2 linked regions of the Struthio camelus genome follow. The protein of the gene in region 1 interacts with the protein of each later gene in a pairwise test. Links are inferred from orthologs where the notes say so. Each region holds a gene or a part of one and is shown in the gene's direction. Other genes may lie near its edges.

Region 1 (9,680 bases):
CCGGCTCCTGCGCCCCGGATGCCTGGGTCCCTAAGGGGGGGGGGGGCTCTGAGGGAGGCACCGGGTCAGGGGTAGCGCTGCCGGCGGCTGAAACGAGCTGGGACGGGTGGAACGAGTTGGCCAGGTCTCAGGCGGGGGAAACTGAGGCCCGGCCCTGGGAAGTGACTCAGGGCCGCGGGGCATGGCCCCGCGGGGCGACCGACCCTCGGCCTCGCGCCCCTTCCTTCCTCCTCTTCCTCCCGGCGGGTCCGGGTGCATGCGGTGGTGGTGGGGGGGGCACGGTTCCCCCCCGCCCGGGTCCGCTCACCCTGCGCCGTCCCCGCGCCCAGGTGCCGGCGCCGAGGCGGCCGCGGGGCCCCGCGAGCCCCCGGCCCAGGTGGGGCTGCTGCTGCGGCTCGAGGACCTGGAGCAAGGTGAGCCCCGGGGGTGGTGGGTGGGGGGACGCGGGGATGTGACCCCTGGGAAAGGGTGGGCGACGCGTCCTGTCCCCCCCCCCGGGGGATGTGACCCCCCCCCCTCCCCGGACGCGTGCCCCAGGGATGGGGGCGGAGGGACGGGGCGAGGGGGACGCATCCAGCAGGGCTGCAAGGACGTGTGTCCCGGGTGGGAGGCAGGGAAATCCCCCCCCGCCCCCAGCCCCGGGACGGGACCGCGGGCGCCCCGCCGTGACCCTGCTCGTCCCGCAGCCCCGGTGCTGCAGCAGGAGCGGGAGCTGGTGCTGCCCGTGCTGCGCTCCCCGGCGCCGTCGGCATCGTCCCCGGAGCGCTGGGGCAGCGACCTGGAGGACTTCCCCCCCGGGCGCCCCGCGGCCGCCACCATCGCCGACCTGTGCCGCCGGCCCCGGCCCCGGGACGCCTTGGGCGACCTGCCCCGCACCGGCTTCTCCCACCTGCGGCGCCAGGCGGACGCGCTGCAGCGCCTCGACGGCCGCCTCGACGCCTGCTGCCGCCGGCCCCAGCCCCTGCCCTGCGCCCAGCAGGCGGTGAGTCCCCTACGGGGGGGGGGGGGGCTTTTTGCTAATTTTTATGTTTATTGCATTTTTGCTGCAATATTATCTTTTTTTCATTATTTTCATTATTTTTGTTGCGCAGTGGGCGGAGGTGCTGGAGGACTTCTGCGCCGACGAGTTCAGGGTGAAGACCAGGCACTACTACTGCTGCAAGAGGAGAGGGGCCGAGCGCGAGCGCTGCTTCGCCGCCGCCGCTTCGCCCGCCCCGCTCGAGCTGCAGCCGCCGCCGGCCACCGCCGCCGCCGTGCCGCCCCTACCCCAGCCCGTTTTCCCCCCCGGCGAGCCCACCGCCGCCAACATCGGTAACATCTGCCGGCTGCGCAAATTCCGGCCCGTCTACGGCCCCGGCGCTTTCCCCCCGTCCGGCTTCGGCGCCGCCAAGAGCCGAGCGCGCGCCCTGGCCCGCCTGGAGCGCGACTACAAGACGTGCTGCCGCGCCGAGAGCGTCGAGTGCGCCCGCGCCGCCGTGAGTCCGGGCCGAGGGCGCCCCGGGGTGGGGGTCCCCCCCCCTCCCCTCCCCTCCCCACCTGGCCGGCGGCCGGGCCGATGCTCAGCTCTCCCCCCCCCCCCCTTGCAGTGGCAGAAGACGCTGGGGCGTTTCTGCGAGGAGGAGAGCGGCGTGAAGACGAAGCAGCACCGCTGCTGCAAGCGGGGCCGGGGCCCGGCCCGCTGGGGCTGCTTCGCCGGCGAGGCCCCGCATCCCGCCTACGACCGCGAGCTGCGCAACGCCAGCCTGGCCCGCCTCGGCCCCGCGCTGCTCGACGCCCTCTGCGGCCCCGCGCGCCTCCTGGCCAAGCAGTGAGTGCCGGCGGGCCCAGGCGTCCGGGCCCCGTTTCCACTCCTCCCCTCCGGGATGTTCCTCCAGATCCCCCACGCTGGCAGTGCTCAGAGGGACCCAGGCGTCCGGCCCCCCCCCCCCCCAAACCGGGCTCCCCCGACGGGGCGGGATATACGGGGCTGGGCCGCCCCCCGGCGGCGCTGGGCGGTACTGCAGGCCGGGGGGGGGGTTAGGGGGTGGCAGCGGGGGGCCCAGGCGTCCTGGCCCCCGCCGGGAGGATCCAGCCCTTGGGTTTACCCCGCTCACGGCGGTTCTCTCCGGCGCCGCAGGAAGCCGGTCCCGGCCCTGGTGCAGAGCATCACGGAGGCGTGCTGCCCGCGCGGCGGGGCCGAGCGCGTCGCCTGCGCCGAGGACCAGGTGAGCGCAGGGCCCCCGCCCCGCCTCCACGCGGGGGACCCAGGCGTCCGGGCCCTTCGTGACCTCCCGTCTCCTCCGCAGAAATCCCGCACCATCGCCGCCCTCTGCTCCTCGCAGCGGGACTCGTGGAAGGACCCCAAGCGATGCTGCGCGCACGGCACCGCAGAGGAGCAGCGCCGGTGCTTCGACGCCAGCTACCTGGCCAGCGTCTTGCTGGCCTCGACGGAGCCCGAGCTGCTGGCCGCGGAGCAGGATTAGACCGTCCGCCCCCCCCCCCTTGGCCATGCTGAGCCCCGGCAGGGCTGCGGACCCCGTCCCGAGCTCGCCGGGGGCATGACGGGACCGGGGGGGGGGGGCTGGGGCTGCACCGCGGCCCCTCTCCTGCCCCGCGACGGCCACGGGCTCCTGGGGCTCAATAAAGCCTTTCCCCGACAGCCCGGCTCCGCCTGCACCCTCGCGCCGCAGCCCTGCCTCGGTTTCCCCAAGGTGCGTCGGTTCCCCCCCACCCCGCCCCGGTGCCTCGGCCCCCCCGGCATGCCGGGGCCGCGGTGCAGGTGTGTCCGCGCAGGGTGCGCGTCTGTGCGGCCGCGTGCAGGCGTGCGCCGCGCGCCGGGGCCTGTTTGCGTGTCGGGGTGCGCCAGCGGCACCGCAGGGACCCAGGCGGGCGGGGTCCGCGGAGGTGGGAGTCCCGCAGGGTGGCGGGTCCGGCTGCGGGTCTGGCCGTGGGTCCGGGCGCACGTGGAGCTGCCCCGTCCCCCCCCACCCTGGTCTGCCTGCGTCTCCCCCTTCCTATGCCCCCCCACGTCCCAGTGTCCCCTGCGGTGTCCCCGTGCCCCCCACATCTCCATGGCCCCGCTGATGACTCCGTGGCCCCTGTTATGCCCCCATGTCCCCCATGGTGTCCCCCACGTCCCCGTACCCCCCATGTCCCCGGGTCCCTGGTGCCTGGCGGGGTCCCAGCGGGGCCGGAGGCTATTTTTGGGCCCTGGTGCTAATTCGGGAGCGTGCCGGGGCGGTGGCCGGATCCGGGGCCGTGTTTACGGGAGCCGCCCGGGAAGAGAGCAGGTCACACCGGGGTTCCCGGCCTGACCTCGACCGCTGCCAGCCCTTCCCGTGGCAGCGAGTTTGCACGGTCTCAGCTCCAAGGGCGATGCCTCCCCGGCCGGCGGTGGCGCCGGGTCCCAGACGCGCCGTCGCCCCAGCCAGCGAGCGGGGGGTGGGACGGGACGGGACTTGTGTCAACACAGCGGGAGCCGCCGCGGCCGCGTCCCCCCTCCCAGTCCCTCCCAGCCTCCCAGTAACCCCAGGGATCCCACGGCTGCCGCGGACCTCCTGGCTGCCGCCATGCGAGGCCTCGTCGAGTCCCAGTCACTAATTGCTCAGCTGGAGCCGCTGCCAAGAGCAGCTCGGCGCAATTAAAAGCACTTCACGGTGCGAGGCCGGGGCCCTGGCGAAGCCCCGCAGAGGGGATTGCTCCCTGGGGGAAACTGAGGCACGCAGTTTTGCACGGGAGACATTGCCATCGCGCTGCCACCGAGGCTGGCGCCAGTGCCCTGGTCCCAGCTGAAGTTTGCTCGTCTGCATCCGGCGCCCCTGGGCCACCCCCCCCCCGGCATCCACCTTTTTTTGCACCTTTTTGCATCATTTTTGGAACCCCCCCTGCCTTTTTGCAACCCTCTTTTTGCCTCCGCCTGGGATGGGGCTCCAGCAGCCTGACCGGGGCAGACCCGGCTCTCACCTTGCCCCAGGGCCGCAGCGGGGTGTGGAGGGGTAAAAGTCGCGTCCCTTTGTGGCTGCTTGCCTCAGTTTCCCCTCGCCATGCATCAGGGCTCCTTGCCGCTGCGGACGGGATCGATCAGAGGTAATGGGGGGACGCGACGCCGGGATGAGCCCCCCTGCCTGCGCGCCACCACGGCCTGTCACCGGGCCCCGCGGCTGGCGTTGGTGGGGACAGGGGTGGCCGCCCCGGTCCTCCCGCTGGCCACCGGGCCGCTGACACAGCGAGGTCACCAGCCTCGTCCCTCACCAGAGAGCCCGGCCGGTGCCCGCTGGGTCAGTGACGGCCGTGGGCTGGGGACGTGGCACGGGCTGGGGACGGCGCACAGCTCGGGGACGGCCGGGACCGTGGGCCGGGGCCGGACGGCGGGTGGCTATGGGGTGGGGGGCTGCGGATGTCCCCGACGGCCTGGCGACAAGGCACGGGCCGGGAGCCCCGCACGAGGCTCGGGGACGGCGCAGGGGTGCAGGGATCGGGCTGGGGGGGGCCGGAGGTGCGGGGCAGAGCGGGGGTCGGGGGCACCCCCCGGGGCCGTGGGGCAGCAGCGCTCCCCCCCCCCCGGCCGGTCCCCCCGGGCGCAGCGCAGCGCAGCGGGGCCGGGGCCGGGCGGGGGCCGGGCCGGGGCTGCGCCGCCCCCGCTCCGCGCCGAGCGGTGCCGAGCCTGGGGCGTCCATGGGGCGGCCGCGAGGTGCGCGGAGCCGGGGACCGGGACCGGGGACCGGGGCGGGCCGGGGAAGGGGGGAGCGGGGCTGGGTCAGGGGCGGGGAACCGGGACCGGGGGAAGAGCACCGGGATCGGCGACGCGGCGGAGAAGGAGCGGGTCGGCGGCCGGGCCGGTAACCGCGAGCGGGGAGGGGGACCGGGCCGGGGATGGGGGACCGGGGACCGGGGAGGGGGCGAAGCGGTTGGCGGCGGGGGTCGGGCCGGGGCCACCCGGTCCCGGGGCCGGGAGCGACTCGATTCGGGCTGAAACTCGCCTTTTTCGGGTTGGGACTGACCCGGTTCGGAGTGGCGGGGGGGGGGGGGGAGGGGGGGAGGGTGAAATTGACCATTTCGAGCTGAAATTGACCCTGTTCGGGATGAAACTGACCAGCCCCCGCTGCCTGCACCCGGGCTGCCGGGGGGGACCGGGCCGGGGCAGCCGCAGCGGCGGCCTCGCCGAGGGGGGGCTGGAGCACCGGGACGGTGAGAGCGGTGTGGGCAGGGGTCCTGGACCGCAACCCCCTTCCCCACCCCGCAGCCCCCTTCCCTATGCCCTTCTGCAGCCCCCAGCCCCTTTTCCCAGCCCTCAAACCTCTTCCCCGCCTTCAGCCCTTTCCCCATCCTGTAGCCCCTTCCCCAACTCTCTTTCCCAGCTCACAACCCCCTTTCTGAGCCCTCAAACCCCTTCCCCATCCCGCAGCCCCTTCCCCAGCCTGCAGCCCCCTTCCCCAGGTCACAAACCCTTTCCCCTGCCTTCAGCCCCTTCCCCACCCCCTTCCCCAGCTCACAAGCTCCTTCCCCTGCTTGCAGCCCCCTTCCCCGTTCCCTTGCCCAGCCCGCAGCCCCTTCCTCATCCTGCCATCCCCCTCCCCAGCCCAGCCCCTCATCAGCTCCATGTGCAGCATCCCTGGATGGGGGGACAACTGGCATCCAGGGGGGGCTGCTGGGTGCCCACGTTTCTGGCCACCAGGACTCTGTCCGCATCCTTCCCTGGCTACTCCATCCCTTTGCTGCCCCGTTCCCCATCCTTCTGTGCCTGGATGCTCCCTCTCTTCGGCTCCCCCTGCCCCCCCCCCGTGCTTTGCCACCCTGGGACCAGCTTTTCCCCCCTTTCCTTCATGGCAGCCCCGGGAGCCCCCAGGCTTGGAGGACCCCAGCCCGCGGCCACCCCTGTCCCCTCAGGCTGTGACCGTTCAGCGAGCAGGTAAGGGGGGGCCGGGGGGCCTCCGGGCTGCTGAAATGCCCTGGGAAGGGCATCTCTCCTGCCTGTGATTGCATTCCCCCCCCCGGAGCCATCCCTGCCGGGCAGGGCAGAGCTGCGGAAACAATGTGCTGGGCGGCTGCTGATACACCGGCCACCATGTGCTCTATTTTTATATCTTTATTTATACAGATATAACAGTTAGGGCTTTTTTCGGGGGTGGGCCGGACGGCCCAGGCGTGGAGGGCAGGCTGCGCGTCGGGCAGTGCCCTCCACATGCCATCGGAGGCACGGAAAAGTCCCCGGGTATTTTTATACCTGTTTTTTTTTTTTTTTTATTTTCCCTCCTCCACCAGGGTGGGAGATATTCCAGCCAGTCTGCTCACATTTTCAAATATAGATAGCCCAGGCAACAAGTGGTTTCTCAGCCGTCTTAACGCAAGCTGCTTTCGTGCTCCTGCGGCTGCCGGGCCTGATCCCGACCTCTCCGTGCCCTGGCCCGCAGGTCGCTCCGGACGGCTTCCCCTCCGGCTCTGCTTTGTGCCGGTGGAAACAGCAAACGGATCCCTTCTCCTCTTCCGCCGTGGCATCCAAAAATACTTCAAATTCCTTCATTTCAAAGGGCTTGGGGCGGGGGGGGGGGGGGAGGCGGACGGACAGACGCAGGGCAGGACAAGGTGACCCGGTCGCTAGCAGGAGCCGGCCGGAGCCGAAGGATCCCAGCAGCAGCCCAGATCTCTGCTTTGCCTCCGGGCTGCCTTCCTCCCCCCCCCCCAACTCTTTCCCCTCCTTTTCCAGTGCTGTTTTTGGAGACCTGGCTGTTTCTTTTCTCCGGCAGCCCAAAGGTGCGTCTTTGTGCAGGGAGAGGATCAAACAGGGAAAGGGGAAAAGCTGAGCAGGCTCCTGCCGGCACAGGGAAGGAGGCGGTTTGCCAGCCCCCGGGCACCGTTTGGGGCCAGAGCCAAGGCTTTTGGCTGCCACTGCTGCTCCATCCCGGACCGGGGAGGTAAAACTGCTGCAACAGCGACCTCGCTGCCTGCCCGGGTGGTCCGGGAGGAAACAGCGGCTGGAGGCTTCGCTTGACTCCGGGAGCTGATGCTTGCAGCTGGGCGTGATCCTGCTGGGGGCCGATTTCCTCCAAAACCACCCCGAAAACCAAACCACCCCCAAAACCACCGAAAACCCCTCGTTGGGGCTGCTCATCAGTTGCTTTGGCCTCCCCACAGGGCCCCGGAGCCGGTTGCTGCCCGAACGTGTGTCTGAGGGGGAGTTTTGGGGGGGGGTTTCTCTGGGACAAACAAGATCTGGCCTTGGGGAGCACTGGGAAAGGTGTTTTCCCCCCCCGCCCAAAACAGCCGGCCCAGCATCCTCCCCTTGCAGAAGGGCTCCAGGGCGGAGCTGCACGTTGGTGGGCACTGTTGGCAAAATGCTTTTTTTGTAGGGGTGTGTGGGGGGGCAGTATTTGGGGCGAGGAATGTCCCCGTGTGGCCTGGCTCAGGTACAAGGTGCCTCTGGCACCTGCTTCCCAGCCCAAAATGCCGTAATCCTGCATTCCCCCTGCAAGACCAAACCGGGGCCTCGCTGGTGCCTCTGGCCGGCCCTTCCCAGCCGCTGGCTCTTGGCACTGAGCAGGGCCCGTTCGGCAGCCAAATCTGGGCCTCCGAAGGGGAGAGGATCCCTTGTGGGGCCTCCATCCCCACTGCTGGCTCCCCCCAACTCGGGAAAGGCGGGTGCGAGTGCTGGGAGGTCATGCTGAAGGGCACCGGCAAGGCTGCAGAGCCCTGGCATGCTCGGTGCATGGGTGGCAGCATGACTGCAGGGTGCTTGCTCCTTGGGCTCATGCTCCTGGCTTCATCTTGGCCCAGGACGGGGCACGGGAGCCAGGGGAGGACCCAGGAGTCCTGGCTTGGCCTGAGCCCATCTCTGCAGGGGGAAGAGAGGGATCTGTACCGGCAGCCAGAGCTGGGCCTGGTGGGCAGAAAAGCCACCGCGGGCAGCCGCCCTTTGCACCCGCCGGTTTTAGTTTCTGCCCTTGGTGCTGAGGCTGGAAGGGAGGGAGGAAAAAGTGCAATTTTAGGGTGCTGCAGCATCGCGATCCCGCTCGCGGCAGCAGCAGGGGGCTCCTGGGAGCGGCGGGCGAGGGGGAAACTGGGCTCTTTTCCATCCCGCCGGCTCTTGCACGGCTTTTTCGCCAGGCCTCCACCGTCTTGGCACCCAGCGGTGCTTTTATTCATTGTTTGTCGGCACGTTGCAAGAAGGCCCCGCTTGCCTGTTCGCTCCCCGGCCTCAAATCTCCCCTCCTGTGCACCGCCCGAAAACATCTGGCCGGCCGGCGGGGCCGATGCCGCCGGCTCTGGCCGCGGCGCAGGGCTCTCACTCGGCCCCGCTGCTGCTCCTCTGGGACGTGCCAAGCAAATGTCCTGGTAGGGCCTGATGTTTTCCAGCTTTCTGGGAGTTTTTTCCAAGCGTGAACCGCAGCGGCGGGTGGGACCTGACCACCGGGGAGACGAGGTCGGCTTAAAATTTCCTCCCCGCCCTCCGAGGAGCAGGAATGGCTCCATGACTCCGTCCATGCCTCGGTTTCCCCCGCAGTGAGGCCGGAGCAGGGTAGGATTAATTAGCGGCGGGCTGACGAGGCTGGTGGAGGACTGGGCGTTATTAACTCGCCGGGCTCCTGCCCAGAGCCGCCCTTTCCCGCGGTGGCCTCGTCCCCTCCCCAGGATTAGCCCCAGTGGAGGAGGGAGGCATTATCAGGGCTTAATGCCCCACAGTCGGGTTGCCAAGTGCTTATGCCTAATCCTCTTCCTCACCACGGTAAAACCCACCCCGAGCAGCCGCCAGGCTTATTTTTGGGCCGGGAGGGGTGGATTTTGGGGGCGCCTTGGTTTGCTCCGCTCTGTCGGTGCAGCAGTGATTTATTACTCCCAGCGGAGGGCTCTGGCCGGACCGTGGCGAGATAAAAATATCCGAGCATCATCCTGGCGGCTGGCAGGGAGGGACCGGGGCCGGCCCCGGCAGGCGCCTGGCAGGAGCTAGGAGGTCCCTTTGCCCCAGCCCTGGCCACGTCCCACCCTGGTGTCCCTGGGGTGTCTTGGGGCTGTTCCCCTCATTTTAATCCCATTGAGGGTGGACGGGCATTGCCACCCACAGGTGCTGGGGTTATTTATTCCTTTGACTTCAATTGCAGAGACTGTCCCTGGAGTCTGGGGCCGATGCTGAAGCCTGGCCGAGGTCCGTGAGAGTCAGAGCGTCTGCTGGGGAGGAGAGGAGCCCAGGAGCCATGGGGGCTTGGCACGCAGGCTGGCTTGGCAGGTACCACCAGAGGGAAATGCTGAGCTGGGGGCTGGGAATGGCTCCGCCGCACCAGCACGTCCCCATGGGCCCCCCCCTGGCTTGGGGTGGCATGGGGAAAGGGCCAGCGCCCCAGCCTTGTGGTGCACGGGGGGGGGGGGGGCTGGTTGCAGGGAGAGGGGTGGATGAGAGGGTGAAGTAGGCAGAGGTCCACCACAGGGTGTCTGTGAGCTTTTATTCTCCACTATCCATCCATCCATCCCTAGATCCTTCCATCCCTTCCCAGATACATTATCCACTGTCCATCCATTTGTCCTTCCCTAGAGCCATCCATCCCCAGATATCCTATCTACTCATCCATCCATCCATCCTCCCATCTGACCATCTCCAGATCCATCCATCCTCAGACTCTCCATCTATTGGTCCATTCACCCATCTGTCCATCTCCAGATCCATCCACAGATGCTCCATCTAGCCATCCATCCATCCATCTCCAGATCCAACC
Region 2 (10,018 bases), on another chromosome or scaffold:
CTATGTTCTGTTCTGGTGTGTTATTGCTCAATTATTTTTCATATCTTCAGTGAGAGAGTAGTGAATAGATCTCGAATTTGCAAATGTTATTGAGTTAGAAGGGCTGGCAGTACTCTGGTTGTGCCCCAATAGAATTTGAGATGAACCTTATGAATTTTAAAACTGGTCTGAAGAGGAAAGGGGGTTGTTCTATAGAGAAAATACACAATGTTATAATCATGTAAACACCAGAGAGGGAAGAAGTGCATGTATCAAAGTCAAGAAAAAATTCAAACAATGAGGAAAAATTGTAAGAAATTCGGTTGTTTAGTCTTGAAAGAAGATGAGAATAATAATAATCTTAAAAAATTTCAAACATTTTTGAGAGGAGGGGAATAAATTATTTTCCAGCCTGAGTGTGAATGGCATTATATTGCCGCAAAGGTGATTTAGGAAGTCTAGATATTAGGAAACCTTTCTAACGGTGAGCACTGGACTGGCTCCTCTAGAGGGGTACAAGAATCACCATACTTGAGGGTATTTAAGACAGCGTAGACAAACTACTGCCAAGAGGAGCGTAAGTCTAATTGGCAATGGAGGAAAGACTCATTAATGTCTCAAGATCCTCCAGTTACTGTGATATTCTGACCTAATAGTCTATCATGCATACAAGCACTTTGCCTACATTTTGTTTTATTGCTTTATTTCTGCAGGCTATGTTAAGCTGATGAGTTACTTTGCTGCTGCAGTGTGATCTCGTGGATTTAATACGTCCAGCTGACAAATTAGACTGTTGTCGTGTGATCACCCTGCCTGCGTTCACCCCAAGGCTTTCTCCTGCTTGGGAATTATGTCACAATTTTCACCTCAAGGTCTCCCTTTTATTTTTATATCAGCTCAACATCCAGTGCCCTATAACACTTGGCAGTTGAAAGAGATTTACTATTATAAGGAAGTCTGTGATGTTGAATCAGCACTTCAGACTGTGCCAAGCACAGGCTGTAAGCCTGAGCAACAGAGCCATGGTGAAACAGAGCATAGAGCAATGATGAAATCTGGGTAGCAAAACTTACAAAAATACACATGCAAAACCTTTCCCCAAAACAAGCACCCGAAAAACAAAATAACCAGCATTTCTCCAGTGGAGCCCCGCGAATTATGGGAGCGGAAGACTGACCCTGATTTTTGTCTGTACATTTAGAAGCAAACTGTGATCCATACTGAAAACTTTCCTATCGCAAGTAACAATGGTTTATTCACCTCCTGTGTTCGTAATGAACTACCAAGGCACAGTCAGGGATGTGTCATGCCCAGTATTCCTGGCAGACTTGTCATTTTATGTAACATAATGTGAAGGGGAAAAAAAAAAGAAAAGAAAAAGAAAAAACTTGGTCAACTTCCCAGTGATGCACTGGGCACAGGAAACTTAAAAGGACAATTGTTGCTAAATATGTTTGCTAAGGGGGAAAAAAAAAAAAAAAAAGAATTTAACCCTTAGTGTGGTAGTATTGCCAGAGAAACTAACCTTTCCACACGACGACTTGCGGGCACTTGTGACTCATAACACCATTTCCTTGGAAGAGATGATGCCGAGAACTTGGGGTGACGAGACAATCAGCCCTTTACCAAACCTTGTTCCTGGTGCAGGCTGATTTAGAAGTTGCCTGGGAAATTGCCTTTTACCTACCAGTTGGAAGACAATCAATCATCTTTATTATTTCGTATCATAGATGTGTTAAATAAAGAGTAGCAGTCCTTTGATGGACCTGATTGGTACAGCCCTTGTGGCCGTAGAATTAGGATTCCCAGAGAAAGTAAGTGTTTATTCTGGAGCTAGGCAGCCAGGGCACCCTAAATAGCTGTGGGAACGGTGTCAATGAATTGTAGATATCTAAAATGAAGCTGTGCAATCACAGAAATCCTGAAAATGTCCGCACTGCGCATTCACTAAAAAGTGAGCCAAAGGACGGCAGCTTAGTTGGAGACATTTTTGTGATAGATTCCTACAGTTAGGTGAGATACATGCCATCTCTGTGGCTTTGTTGCACTTACCATGAAAAAGCCTTCTATACAAACACATTCACTATTCCATTATATATTTTGTCAGGGTGTACAATAGAGTCTTTTATTCTCAGAGGAGAAAACAACTGGAGATGAAATTTGAAGCAAACTCTCCAAGGACATTACTGAATGATTTTCTTTTCGGACACCTTAGAAACCTCCTTCAAGAGGAAATAATTTTCTAATCATCGTCTTATTTGTCTAGATCAAATTGGTCATTGATATAAACAGGTTTACCTCTGCCGATATTGAATTTCATTCATTCATTTATACAGTCACAGATCTTGTTGCTTCATATATTCTGTGCTAAACTTCTCTCTCGCTTTTGTTTCTTTGTTTTGTGATCTTTTTTTCTTTACTATCTTATGATCTGGAAGAAAAGAAAAAAAAGGATGACTGGGAACAGGCATTGTATTAAGGAGGCTTACAAATCCATATGTAGTGATTAAAAAAAAAAAAAAAAGAAGGAAAGAAAATCCATCAAAAGAAAATTAGAATAAGCAGATAACCATGGTAGAATGTACAGGTTTTTATCTAAGAACAGGAAAAAATTTAGTGGGTCTGTAGAACCTACTGAATCATGAAATTTACTGAATATTACTGAATCATGAAATACCAAATGAAAATTAAACATGTGGACTCTATGCCTTTGCATCTTGCTCATTAGAGAGTGACACACCGTCTCTGATCCCAGCACAACAGTGATTCACAGAATTGATAACTTTTGATCCTCTCAGCTGAGATTTTGAGAGTTAAATCCAGCCTCACAAAGGGATTTAGATGTCCAGCTCTCTAAGAGGATATTAAAGGCTGTGAGTTTAGCATACAGGGAAAAGGGTCAGCTGAGCAGCTAAGAAAGGCATTCCCAGCAGTCGGTGTATTGAGCAAGTCGGCTGATAGGAAATGCTATGAGAGGAATATGAGAGGAATATGTCTGAAATCTTCCTTCTTTCCTGAATTTAGGATCATAAGTCAGGAATTCAGTGTGAAACCACCTCCAGTCTTGGACACCTAAGTCATGCTGTAGTGAACCAGTTATGCTCAGGTGTCTCTCTTGCAGAAAGATTCCTGAGAGTCTGTGCATTGACTCAATCACTGCCTTGTACTTTGTTATGATAACAATCAGGAGGAGGTCTTCTTCTAACCAGAAAGAGAACTGAGTCAGATCAAGAAGTAGCTCCTGACTGAAATAATAGTGATGTAAATTTGTTCAAATCAGTGGCATTATCCTAGACAAACACTAGTGTAATTTAAAACAGAATCTGGGTCTAAGTGTCTTCTCGAAGCATCGTTTCAATGAATATAAGAAATACATAACTATGTTTCCATTAGGCCCAGTGGAAACCACGGAAATCTTACCATCAAAGGGTGATTTACCATTAAGATCTAGAGCATGATTTCTCACAGAAAACCCAGCTTCTAAATTTCAACTTTCTATATGGATGGCACTGAATAGAGCACATGGGAAAATGTTTTCATTTCAGCTAACAGTGCCGAACTTCTTTCCATTTTTCTGAATTGCTGGGCTGTGAAAACATGGACCTACGATTCTTCACAGTGGTGAGAAAGTTAGCAATGCTTCAGAGAGGTGAAAATCTATAGGCGGAAAGTGGTTGTTGGTGTTTCCAGAACTGTGAGTAAAATATTCCTAGCAATCCCCACTTGCATGCTAAAACATTTGATTGACCCTACTAAAATACTTGGCTGGTGGAGTTGCAGGATGACTGCAATTCTTCTCAAGAAGAGAACAATTTTAGTTTGCTAAAGTGCCCCTGGTTCTGGTCATTTGGTCTCTGGACCGACATACGTTCCCTCTGCCCTTCAACGTTATTCCTTCACCTAAGTGGAAAATTCCCGGAGAAGTCATGTTAGCCAAGACCAAACTTGTAGTCACATTTGTTTCTTGTTCAAATAGTAGAGAGACTGTGAGCAATGTGACATGTGGGAGCACAGAACAAAGCCTGCCACTTAACCAATGAGTACATTTGTTTTCTGACTGAATTGTTAAGCAAGGATTGTGCTGCAGCCCTTCAGAATCTGATTTGTTTTAGAGGAAAAATGAGTCTGTCCTGGGATCCTGGCCATTAAATATCCACTTCTGTGAGGTTGATTCTTCTCTCAGCTGTCTCTAGTGCAAATAAATAATGTTAAGAGTGTATAGTGATTTAAATCATCTGTAAAGAATAACCCCACAGCTCAAAAGCTACTTTCTCCCTCTAGCTCCCATCAGATACGTGCCTGCCCTTCACTGCCTATCCTAAATACTTGTGTAAGCTTGGCGGTCATGTCTCCATTTCTAGCTGCATAATTCCAAAAAAACCCCGAAACTCATCTTCAAGTGTGATTTGACAATAAGCTATGAACCATGCCTAGAAAACCTGTCTGGACAAACCCAGCTCATCCATTGCACAAGACACTGGATTTTGCCCTTTTTTGGTTCACAGCAGTTTATGGGGACTGGGTCTATGGGTAGAAAACTTGACCAAGTGCTGGGGTATTTGTCATTAATCTGAGAAAGAATGGGGTGGAGCTCATTTTGGAGAAAAGCACCATACTGAACTGCGTTGTGGAGGAGATTTCTGAACAGACATTTCCCTAGGACAAACCGTGATGTCAAAGGGCTGGAATCATCACAAGGGGGTTAAATCTGCGGAGAGCGTTGCTGCTCTACTCATGCCTTGTCTTTCTCATGTGAGGGATTCCTTCTTGCCTTATCAGTACCGGTACAGAGGTTGTTAGGTAGTCCAAATCCTAATTGTAGGAAGAGGTGAGTAAAGAAGGAATTTCCTGCAGGCACAGCAGAATGGCAAGGCAGCTCCATCCCACGGATGCCAATTTGGGACACCTGGAAAGTACTTGCTCTTGTAAACTATTCATAGAGCTCTTCTTTCCCTCACTCAGTTCCCTGAGGTATGAGATATGCCTTGTGTCTTGGCCATTCTGTGGGTGGGACCGGAGAAGCTGGTCACTTCTGCTCTTCAAGTTTCAGAGAATGGATTTGCAATAAATAAAAATTCCACTGAATAAAATACTTAATTTAAATACTTGGTTAATTGACTGTGATTGTACCTCACATTAAAATTGGACACACTGTCTTGGGCAGAATTTGATTTCTTATTGGTCTAGCATGCGATTCCTCATTCTAGCCCCATTGCAATTAGAAGGGTAAAAGACAATAACTAACATATCCTAATTTATTTGATTTTTCCTGTTTTTGCCCCATTGGTACAGTTCTGTTGGGTAAGTGTATTATAAAACACAAAGAAATAAAAGTGGTTATTTTGGAAAATCAAGAACATCTGAGAACTAGAAAGCATAAGAGTTTGGGCATGACAGGCTGCAGACATCTAGATTTTTACTTAAGCAGTCTTCAGCTTTGCATCTGAACAAATTATTGAAAGCTCAATATATTTTAAAAGCCCTTCTTGACTGTCTAATGCTATCCAGGTGTGTATTTGACTTTGTCTTCATAGTGACATACTTCCTCGGTGAGAAAGCCTTGAATTAATTAAACTACAATTTAAAAGTTGACACCAGTGCATTAAAGCAAGAAGAAGAAGAAAGAAGAGGAGAGAGAGAGAAGTAAGCTGTTTTTAAATAGTCATCTTGCTTTCCAGACTTTGCCTGGGCAATTTGCTTCTGACCCTGGATCAGATCTGGTGCATCCTTGAAGTCAGAGCAAACCCTCTGACTTTGAGGCGAAGGCACCGCCAGCTGCGAAAGCGCGCAGAGATCTGATAACGCAGGGGTTAACCTAAGGCATGTATACAAACCTTGCTGCGATAACATCAGAAGAGGTTAGACCTTTTGCTCTTCGAGACGCTCTGGCACTGCTGGGAGATTCATTTTGTCTGCAAAATCAAGCGTGTAATTTCCCTTGTCCCGCAGTCTGTGTCTCTGTCTGCGGCCAGTGCCGTGCATCGGCGGCGGCAGCAGCCGGTCTCCCTGGTGACTGCCGGGACAGCTGACCTTCAGGAGAGGAGCGCTGGATGTCTGCAGGCTATACTTTCACTTCAGGATGTGGGTTAGGAAGCCCCCAGATTGGCTTTTTTCCTGCCGGTCGGAAGGAAGGCAGGAGAGCGAGCCCAGGGAAACCCTGAGACGCCTCTGGTTGGGACGGGGAGGGGGTGGGGGGAGGCGGAAAAAGTGAAGAAACGAAGTAAATGCCCATTTCATACGTCCCTCAGCACGATTTCTTCCCCTCCGCTTAAGCATAAACCTCTCAAGGGCAGAGCAAAAAGGGTGCAGAGAACCTGCGCTTCGACCTAGCGCTAATGCAAACCCCGTGCGCTGGCGGAGAGGAGCCGGGCACGGAGACGCGGGCTAGATCAGACTGGCTCTTCTGCAAACCCGAACGCCTCCTCTAGCTGCAGAGGGCAGCTCTTTCGGGTCCGAACCGCCGGCGTATGAAGCACCCAGCTGACCTGCAGTGGAGTTATTTCAGCTTTACGCGGTGGTCGCAGGGATTAGAACGACTCGCAACCGTTAGTCGGTCAAGACCTGTTTGTGTGAGTCTGTGTAAACATATATGTTTGTACATCTGTCAGGCTTGGCATCAGAAATGCGTCCAAGTCTGCGCAGAGCCAGCAGAGGAGAGGTTCCCACCTGTTTTCAAATGAAACGGAGTCATTTAAGTCCCTGGAGCGCCGATTTAGTTGTTGATTTTATTTATTGCTTTCGGATGTCACCGGCTGCCGGTGAAGCTGAGCATGAACAACTTACCAGCCTGCACAGATAACTTTTCTTTTTGTTTAGTCCAGCACGAGGGAGAAATCCTGTAAAAGCTCTCAGCCCAGTCTGTGGGCTGAATGGCGATAGAGAAGTCAAACGAGTGAAGGTAAAATTCCTGCGGTGCTCCTAAAGACTTTTCCAAAGATTTTAAAAAAGCCTCTTAAAAACGGCAGCAGAGATCGAAGGCTGTTAAGGGAAGGGGAAAAAAAAAAAAAGGGGGAAGAAAAAACTTTGGCAGGCATGCAGTGTCTTACATCAATCTAGCAGTCAGCATCTATGTAGATGTTCTTTCCTCCTTTTGTGCAACACCCCTTCCCTCCTACAGACCACCCAAAGCCCTATAAATAATCCAAGAACTCTATTTTTTCTCCAGATTTCTCTTCAGACCTCAAAGGGAAAATATCAAGCAGAAGAAGGGAGAGAGGGAGAAGAAGGGAAAGTGCGAGAGAGAGAGAGAGAGCGAGGGAAGGGAAAGATGGCTAGTGAATTCAAAAAGAAAATGTTCTGGAGGGCGGTGGTGGCTGAGTTCTTTGCCATGAGCCTCTTTATTTTTATCAGCATTGGCTCGGCTCTGGGTTTTAGTTTCCCGGTTGTGGGCAACAAAACGTCCACAAGGTCTCAAGACAACGTGAAGGTCTCGCTGGCTTTTGGGTTATCCATTGCTACCATGGCACAAAGCGTGGGCCACATCAGCGGTGCCCACCTGAACCCCGCGGTGACCCTGGGCCTTCTGCTGAGCTGCCAGATCAGCATCTTCAAGGCGCTCATGTACATCATCGCTCAGTGCCTGGGGGCAGTGGTGGCCACCGCGATCCTCTCGGGAGTCACCTCGTCTCTCCCAAACAACCTCCTGGGGCTCAACGCGGTAAGCAGAGAAACTTTTGATTCCTCCTTCATTTTTAATGTAGAAATGTGAGGGTAACACCAGCAAGCTACTAAGGGGGTGCGTGTGGGTGTGTGTGTGCGTATGTAGAGGGCGATGGTAGCTTCACTCAGCCAATGGCTCAGTTTAGGGGGGGGATCCAGTCCTGACTGATTGACGCCAGGGTGAATCTAGGATATAGGTACCCTGTGCTGTCAGCTTAAGCACTTTATTAATCCTTTTCCTTTGCAAGAGATGTCGTAGAGAAGGTCCCTTCTCCCCACCCCCTTTCTAAAGCTAGAGGACACTGTGGTCACGACCAGTTTTGCTCATGTTTAGTTTTGTATCTCTGCGTTGATAAAAGTCGCCTTTTGATGCCAATTTAGCATTGAAATCACTGCCAGTTGCGAGGTCGATCCCTGTGATGGTGCTAAAGGTCTCAGATAACATGCCTGCGACTTGCGATGCTGATGAATGTGCATACAGCGATGTTGTTTTCCCATGTGTGAATGTGGTTCTTTTTTCAATACCTAATTAATGATTTCTGTAGCCTGATGATGACTGCAATGTAAGAACCTATGGAAAAAGACACAGAGAGGGATGTGTAGCAAGAGGAAGCTGTGAGCATTACCTGTTGCATTAGGCTCAGTTCCTGCCTGACACAATGACAGCTGCGCTTTCCTTGTGCTCCTGCTTTTGCTATTCAAAAGATGAGGAAAACACTGAATTCTGAGATGTAAGCTGCAGAAAGAGGTGAGGCAATGACATTTAACAGGGATGAAGGTTTCAGCCCTCTTCTAGCCTGCTGCTCACAGCTATTAACAGTCGCATTGCATAAAAAGTACTTTGAATATTTCAGTGCTTGGCTGCAACTGTTCCCTCTAAAAATTGCTGTCATTTTATTGTTCTTATTTTAGCATAGCAGCCGTGAAAAGGATAGATACACTTTTTAAACATTAAATCATCCCATTGTCAGAGGCAGTCCCACAGCCACAAATATTTGGGTCACAATCCAAAGAGGAGTATTATAAGTGGAAATTCCCTTCTAGTCACTTTTCTCACCTGATGCTGTTAAGGACAAATATATCACATCTTTTCCGTGGCCCCTCTCTTGCAGACTATTTCTGGCTGCAGTCTGGGACTTGAACCTATTTGAAATATTATGTCCAGTTGAAGTCGTAGGGATATTTGGGACCTAAAGCTCCAAATCAAAGGTCTCTTCATAAATCATTTGGGCAAAAGGGGAAGAAAAAATAAACAAAAGTTAAATGCACAAATAGGGTAACATGTTTTAGCATGCTATGCCGTTATAGTTAACTCCAAAAGTGAGACTGTGAAGATTTTTTAAAACGTAATAAAAGTTGGTATTAAAAAGGTCATTCCTGAGTAGCCAAAGTGTATCATCCATCTCAGCATTACTCTGAGGGTTAGGTGCTTACCTCCCTCTTCGGAGTCTGGTGCCTGCAGGTACCTCCTTGTGCCACCACTTTTGAAATCTTAATAGGGTTAATCCAGCACATTCTGGGGAAGAAGAGAGAAGCTTTTTATTAACTCCAGAAGGCTCTGGCTGTGCATATGGTATGTGATCTCTCCCTCTGAAACCACTGGCAGAGGGAGCTGCTTAACCACATGGGACAGGGTATCCGCCCAAGTGGTTTCCTAGAGAGGTCTGACTGCCAGCTGCTATTAAACACGGGAGGTCTGGTTTCAGTAGCACTGTCATTCGGTCTTCCCCGTTTGCCTGCCACAAAACGTGGATGACTGGCTTCTTCCTCTATCCTAAAGCCCTGAAACTGGCCACTTGCAAAGTGGGTGTACGTGATCACCCGAAACTTTTCTTGACCCTGAGCTGGTAACTCTCCACGTTACGGCGATGTTATCTAGAGCTTTGCACAAGGATGTCTCAGAAGCGAAGAAGCTACAGAGGCAGGTGGAAAAAAATTCAGGAAAAGAGTGGAGAGAAAACCTGTGGCAGATAATAAAACAAAGAGGGTCCACTCTCAAGGGGAAACTGTGGCATAAGGGTCTCTCCCTTTGGAGAGCGCAGAACACACCACGGAGCTAAGGGGGTAATTTATTTATTTATCACTTCAGTGAAGCCAGATTTGCCCTTTGACCAGGCCACTCCTGAACACTACCTAGTTCTGTGGAGAAAACCTGTGTGGGGGGAATGCTCCTCTTCTTGAACTCGGTAGGTGTTTTGTCACTGATTTTGGTAAGGTTAGGAGACCTCACAAATGAACCTCACAAATTGCATCTTGAGATGGAAGCCTTACTCCCTCCCCCGGGAACTCTGTGAATACAATGGAATCCATCCTTTCCAAGACCATAAAAATCCATGATGGGAGAAAAGTGACATTTTAAGTCTCCATCACAACTGCATTG

The links. The genes of interacting proteins can lie anywhere in the genome.
Region 2: the proteins of ADAMTSL4 (region 1) and AQP1 interact in a two-hybrid assay, tested with the Homo sapiens proteins (2 studies listed by BioGRID and IntAct). The link is inferred for Struthio camelus from reciprocal best matches to the Homo sapiens genes ADAMTSL4 and AQP1.

What each region holds. Positions count from the first base shown.
Region 1 is NC_090971.1:2,661,953-2,671,632, reverse strand, and holds the start of ADAMTSL4 (ADAMTS-like protein 4), read left to right. Parts: upstream 1-3,988; 5' UTR 3,989-4,065; intron 4,066-5,808; 5' UTR 5,809-5,887; intron 5,888-6,682; 5' UTR 6,683-6,729; intron 6,730-9,071; 5' UTR 9,072-9,164; coding exon 9,165-9,196; intron 9,197-9,680. Other genes in the region: ECM1 (extracellular matrix protein 1), read left to right, coding at 330-413, 687-982, 1,092-1,475, 1,587-1,807, 2,117-2,204, 2,286-2,462. UniProt on the Homo sapiens protein: Positive regulation of apoptosis. May facilitate FBN1 microfibril biogenesis.
Region 2 is NC_090943.1:5,169,365-5,179,382, reverse strand, and holds the start of AQP1 (aquaporin-1), read left to right. Parts: upstream 1-6,117; 5' UTR 6,118-7,246; coding exon 7,247-7,636; intron 7,637-10,018. UniProt on the Homo sapiens protein: Forms a water channel that facilitates the transport of water across cell membranes, playing a crucial role in water homeostasis in various tissues.